Oryza sativa Japonica Group: one gene and its partner. The protein of the gene in region 1 binds, or shares a complex with, the protein of each later gene. Links are inferred from orthologs where the notes say so. Each region holds a gene or a part of one and is shown on either strand. Other genes may lie near its edges.

Region 1 (2,709 bases):
ATTACTCAATATTCGATTGGAATGGATTCACAACAATTCTAAAAAAATTATGAATTTTCTATTTCATAATCATTCCTATTTTCATTTTAAAAAAGAATTAAAGAACCTATATTATGATATGAGTTCTGTGATTAATCGTTTGCTATGCCAGTATCTATACGTGGTATTAGATTTCGAAAGCCCTTCTTTCCCTAATTTAGAAGGGAGTTCCGCTAGCAACACAACGTAATTAACTCGATTCGTTAGAACAGCTTCCATTGAGTCTCTGCACCTATCCTTTTCCTTTGGGTTCTAGTTCGAGAACCGCTTGTTTTCTCAAAACATGGATTTGGCTCAGGATTGCCCCTTTTTTAATTCCAGGGTTTCTCTGAATTTGGAAGTTGCCACTTAGCAGGTTTCCATACCAAGGCTCAATACAATCAAGTCCGTAGCGTCTACCGATTTCGCCATATCCCCATTTTCTTTTTCTTTGAGACCAGGATTCCTTGTGCAATTTCCTCCATCTGTTAGTTTTTTTTGAATCGTTGAATTCATTACTCTATGTAGTCTAGCGGTTCGTCTCTAGTTGAGAGACTCCGCTTATTGCAATTCAGCATTGAATTGATTCTATCGTTGATGTATTTGCAATTCAATGCGAATCAATATATCCCAAGGTTTTTCTCTCCCCCACCTACCGCGTTCCTTTTTTAGAGTATTCAAAATCATACTATAACGCTTGATATTCATTCTTTTTTTTTGCTAATCAGAATTAGCAATTTCATTTGCTATGATTCTATGTTCTCCTTAGTGAAATATTAATCATTAAATTATTAGCAAATAACAAAAAAAAACAAAATAATCTCAAAAAATGTCTATAATGATGGACTGAAAATACAAGAAATTCGCATGTTCTCTTTATTATGTTTTCGTATATAATATATATTATTTATTCTTTTCCATGTATTAGATTATTCGTCCGAGCCATATCAAATTAAAAATATCTAAAATCAAATTCAATATAGAAATTGGAATAGATTCTATTAGAAAAATAGATTTGCGAATTAGAGAAAAAAGAAAGTTCAAAAAAATCTATCTAACTTTATTTTATGAAGTTCTAGTATTTTTTTCTAAGTAGAACTTCCAATTTCGAACTAGTTAATAGCTAAGATTAATAATTAAGATCTGACATTTTACGGATTTCCTATACTATACATATTTCTATTTGTTACACTATTTCTGTTATGTAAGCCCACTTAGCTCAGAGGTTAGAGCATCGCATTTGTAATGCGAGGGTCATCGGTTCAAATCCGATAGTCGGCTTTTTTCTCTATCAATGTTCCATGAACAAAAATACCTCTTTTTCTCCGAATTAAATGGAGAAGCCAGGATCTATTATGTCGGTCTACCCTACAATTTTGCTAGATACAAAACAATAAAATAAATAATATATATACAAAAATTCAGATGTTGATGAAATTCCATTTTTTTGTGGTACTTTTAGTAGATTTTACTCTGTTTATCCTTTACTTTAATTCAGTTTTAATTTCGATGTATTCTGTAATGTAAATACAATGAAATTAATTGTGTAAAATGAAATTTCAATAAAAAAAGGAGTCTTCATGTCCCGTTATCGAGGACCTCGTTTTAAAAAAATACGCCGTCTGGGAGCTTTACCAGGACTCACTAGAAAAACACCTAAATCCGGAAGTAATCTGAAAAAGAAATTCCATTCTGGGAAAAAAGAACAATATCGTATTCGTCTTCAAGAAAAACAGAAATTGCGTTTTCATTATGGTCTGACAGAACGACAATTACTTAGATATGTACATATCGCTGGAAAAGCAAAAAGTTCAACAGGTCAGGTTTTACTACAATTACTTGAAATGCGTTTGGATAATATCCTTTTTCGATTAGGTATGGCTTCAACCATTCCCGAGGCCCGGCAATTAGTTAACCATAGACATATTTTAGTTAATGGTCGTATAGTCGATATACCAAGTTTTCGTTGCAAACCCCGAGATATTATTACTACGAAGGATAACCAAAGATCAAAACGTCTGGTTCAAAATTCTATTGCTTCATCCGACCCGGGGAAATTGCCAAAGCATTTGACGATTGACACATTGCAATATAAAGGACTAGTAAAAAAAATCCTGGATAGGAAGTGGGTCGGTCTCAAAATAAATGAGTTGTTAGTTGTAGAATATTACTCTCGTCAAACTTGAACTTAAGGAAAAACGGAAAGGTTCATAGAATTTTTCTTCCCTTCCCCTTTCCCCGAACTAAATCGACCTAAGGCTCTTAATTCGTATTTTCCCATTCACCTAACAGAAATGGATTAACCCTAGGATTCCTTTTTGTTTTTTGTTCTTTCCTCTATGTGTATTTTACATACCATAGTAATTTGGTATAGAGAATTTCTATTAAATAAAGGTATTGTATTATTGCTGGAATAAATTGTCATTTGATTTGATACATTGTAATCATTAACGTTGCTGAATTAAGAAAAACGGAAAGAGAGGGATTCGAACCCTCGGTAAACAAAAGTCTACATAGCAGTTCCAATGCTACGCCTTGAACCGCTCGGCCATCTCTCCTCCATAATCTTATTATGGAAAAAAAACTGAGTGAATAGCGAGTTTTCCTATTCCTGCAGTACAGGTACAACCACAACCGCGCGAGAGTTCCATTGTTCTATTAGATAGAAAAATTCCTTTTCATCTAAGTGGA
Region 2 (4,109 bases), on another chromosome or scaffold:
TGCTGTCTTGCAGGCTGGTAGGGCACTAGGCGATCTAAGATCACTTAGGGAACTGTATGACTCAAAAACACTAGTAATTCTATTCCTCATTGGAACTGTTGCTGTTGCTCCAACGATTCTGAAAAGGAAGAGAATATACGAATGATGCCACTAAAAAGCATCTAAACAGTGTATTAGTAGAGCACTCCAGAAGTGTATTAGTTTTTTTTCCCTTTCTTTGTTGATATTGTATACCTATTCAATTTAGCTGTAGAGATGTAGTAGTAACATGATGAATGTTTTCCTCAATAATAGATGACGCTAAGCTGTTGCATCTGTTGCCCCAATGTTCTTATAAATCCCCACGTCCCAATTAACGATGCGGTGGAACTATCTGGTTGTTGTGGTTTTACAGTAAATCTTACTGCTCCCAATTGGATGGGCAACCTTATCCGTCGTTTTGAAATGATGTGTTATTTGCCACCAATTGTCCTATTATCTCCATTTATTTTATTTTCACTTGAGACATTTCTGCAAGATGATATTCAGAACGTTCCCCACAGATTATCCTAATACAAAATGCAATACGAATTAAACTTACATTTAGTAGTACCTAAACTGTTACATCTAGGATTATAAACGTGCTGAAATTCTTTATCCTCCCACAAAAACCCCAGAAATTTATATTCAGAGGAAGCTTATGCAGTTCTTTATCCTCCCACAAAAACCCCAGAAATTTATATTCAGAAGAAGCTTATGCAGCATAGCTGATCCTAAAGGCTACAACATATTCTTCTTTTTTTCCTAGAGAGAGGAGAATATTTTCTTTCGTGTTTACTCCCTCCATCTTAAAAAAAAGCTTAAAAAAAAGAAAGTCAGGAACATAACTTAAAAAAGCTTTAAAAAAAAAGAAAGTCAGGAACATAACTTAAGACTGTGTTCGGGAGGAACTCACCTCTCGCGCACGTAAAACGGAGCGAAGCATTTTCTTATGATTAATTAAGTATTTATTAATTGTTTTTGAAAAATGATTTTTTAAAAGCAACTTTTGTGTAGAAATCTTTAAAAAAACACATCGTTTAACCGTTTGAAAAGCGTGCATGCAGAACACAAGGGAGATGTGTTGGAAAAAGTGGGAAAAGAACACAGCCTAGTACTAACTTAATAGCCTAGTACTAACTTAGGGTGTGTTTAGTTCACGCTAAAATTGGAAGCTTGATTGAAATTAGAACGATGTGACAGAAAAGTTGGAAGTTTATGTGTGTAGGAAAGTTTTGATGTGATGTAAAAGTTGGAAGTTTGAAGAAAAAAATTGCAACTACGGCGTTATCTAGATATGGAGTACTCCTAGCTTGTTCTTTTTTCTTTTTCTTTTTTTAACAGAAGGAGTAAACTAGCGACTTGACCTGTTTGGGCCGTACCCTGCAAGGCCCAACCCAAGAAGTCGCCGATACAGTGGTAGCCTACAGGTGCGGCTACCTTATCGGCTTCCTTCCCGTTGGGTTCTATCCGAGACAGCACCGAGAGCTCCGGGAGAGAAGCGCACGCACCTCCGTCCCTCGTCGGGAGCGCAGAAATGGCGACCCTCTCGATGGTCTCCGTCCCCATCGCCACCTCCTCCCTGCCCCTCTCCGCCCGAGGCCGCAGCTCCTCCGTCTCCTTCCCCGTTCCCAAGGTGAGAAGCAAAGCCACCCCTCCCCCCGCCTCCCCCCTCCGCGCCCACTTCTTGTTCGGCCATTTGCTCGCTCGTCCTGTTCCTTGGTTCTGTGCGATTGATATGTGATTCACGCATGACGCATCGTACATCCGTATCACTTATTGCAACTCAACCCCTGGGATCGTTTTGTTATCTTTGCCATCTTGGAGGTTGGGGAGGCTAGTGGCCGTGCTTTGTGTACTACAGTACTAATTTTGAGTATGTGCAATTCAGTAGTTTTTTTTCCGTGATGTTGGAAGAACAGTGTTCCTGTGCAATTTTAGAATTATTGGCATCTGTGAGGAACTAGTATTTATATGCTTGTATGCTTATGAGTTTGAATCTCTGCCCCTAGCACATATCATGTTGGAAGAATGGATAGTGTTACGAAGTAGTATTTCTTTGGACAGCAGAGTGTATATGTAATTCATGTAGGGACTAGGAATAGCAAAGAAGGTTAATTATGCATATAGGATGTAAAAAGAATCGTAATTCCTTGTTAGTACTCCCTCAGTTTCATACTATAAGTAGTCAAAGTTCTTTAGGTTTGACCAAGTTTAAAGAAAAAATTTCCCCACCCCATTATCTTTACTTGCCCAGTCATTTGTAGGCCTGTGCTTTTAACTGTGTTGTGGTTTTGATTCTTTTTTTTTTATTATTGGGTACTGGACAGAAAGGGGGTATTGGTCATGGTGGCCTGCGGATCGAGTGCATTCGTATTGGTGGAGTGGAGATCCCGAACCACAAGAGGGTAGAGTACTCACTGCAGTACATCCATGGCATTGGGCGGTCACGCTCCCGTCAGATCCTCTTGGACCTCAATTTTGACAACAAGGTCACAAAGGACCTCTCCGAGGAGGAAGTCATCACTCTCCGTAAGGAGGTTACCAAGTACATGATTGAGGGAGACCTTGTAATGGCCCTATCCCTTGCTAATTCATCACTTAACTTTTTTTCTGTAATTTTGGTGATTAGTATGGTTACCCTACTTTGGTACTTCCTCCGTTTCACAATATAAGTCATTCTAGCATTTCCCACATTCATATTGATACTAATAAATCTAGATAGATATATATGTCTAGATTCATTAGCATCAATATGAATGTGGTAAATGTTAGAATGACTTACATTGTGAAACGGAGGGAGTAGCATGTTGAAGATTCCTTGAAATTTGGTACCCTTAAACTGATCGTTCTGAAAAAAAAAAGACTCTGTAGTTCTTTTCCCATTTCTGTCATCGTGGATTTATGTTGTGTTGCTAAAATAGAGTTCTGATGTGTTTGCCATGCTTTACAGAAACGGTTTAATCGTGTGGCGATTGAGAGGTTGAAGGAGATTAGGTGTTACAGGGGCATCCGCCACAAGCTAGGGCTGCCAGTTCGTGGACAGAGGACGAAGAACAATTGCAGGACGCTGAAGGGAAGGAGGGCTTCTGTTGCGAAGAAGAAGTCGCCTGCTTCCCAGGAGGAATAAGACACATTGCCATGTATTTACCTTTGGTTCTTTGCCTCTTGTTTATTTTTTGTGTTCTGCTTGACCACGCTCTTGTCTGGTATTATGAGATTTTATGTTGGTGTCGTCATAGATGAATCACGGGTTGTGATCTGTCACTGAAAAAGTTATATTTGTCACCTGTCTTACATGAACTGATGCTAAATTAAGGTTATACTATGTTTTTCAGTCCATCATCTTGCTGTCTCTCTTCTGTTGTCATATCTATGCTTGACCGACCTGTTCCTGATGAATTAACGTATCGCCAGTTTTCTGTCCATTTGTTCCACATGCCACCGTCAGATCTAATGCCTTGTTAACTTTACAAGCTGAAAGAGGAGTATCAGTGTAGCTGAATAATAATATTAGGAACCTGCCTTGCTGATAGCAGCAGACGGGGCTTTTAACTATTTGCCACTCTTACGAATGGTGCTTAACGATTTGCTACTAGACCCACATGTCATAGACACATGAGGGCCCACATGTTATTGGCAGGGTGTGGCAAATCGTTAATTGCCATGTCACAAGAGTGGCAAATAGTTAAATTTCCCGCAGCGGACACCAGTCGAGATTTTGGTTTTTTGTGAAGAGATGATTTAAACTTGAGTTACCAATTACCATGATTACCATGCGTGTGGTTGGAACATGGAACTTTCTGGAGAGAGCTGCTCGGCTCAATCTTGGCTTGTTCACTTTGTTGTCCAAATCAACCATACCAAATTTTGTTACATTTCGGTACTACTGGCTTTGTTTGGTTTGATATCTTACCAAATTTTGGTAGAGGTTTAAGAGGAAGCTTCTAAGACTCCCAAATTTTGGTTTAGTAGTAATGGTTGAAGTATGTTTACTTTATTGTTCTATAAAAATTTGGCAATACCGAAATTTGGTAAAGTTAAGTGACAAAAAAAACAGACCCTTAATAGAGCGACAACAGAAGAGCCAT

The links.
Region 2: rps4 (region 1) and small ribosomal subunit protein uS13c share a complex: the UniProt entries of both Arabidopsis thaliana proteins name them as parts of the 30S ribosomal subunit. The link is inferred for Oryza sativa Japonica Group from reciprocal best matches to the Arabidopsis thaliana genes rps4 and EMB3137.

The regions. Positions count from the first base shown.
Region 1 is NC_001320.1:44,305-47,013, reverse strand, and holds rps4 (ribosomal protein S4), read left to right. Parts: upstream 1-1,598; coding exon 1,599-2,204; downstream 2,205-2,709. UniProt on the Arabidopsis thaliana protein: One of the primary rRNA binding proteins, it binds directly to 16S rRNA where it nucleates assembly of the body of the 30S subunit. With S5 and S12 plays an important role in translational accuracy.
Region 2 is NC_089037.1:29,173,589-29,177,697, forward strand, and holds small ribosomal subunit protein uS13c, read left to right. Parts: upstream 1-1,461; 5' UTR 1,462-1,555; coding exon 1,556-1,654; intron 1,655-2,348; coding exon 2,349-2,588; intron 2,589-2,971; coding exon 2,972-3,148; 3' UTR 3,149-3,363; downstream 3,364-4,109. Other genes in the region: uncharacterized membrane protein At4g09580, read left to right, coding at 14-145. UniProt on the Arabidopsis thaliana protein: Located at the top of the head of the 30S subunit, it contacts several helices of the 16S rRNA.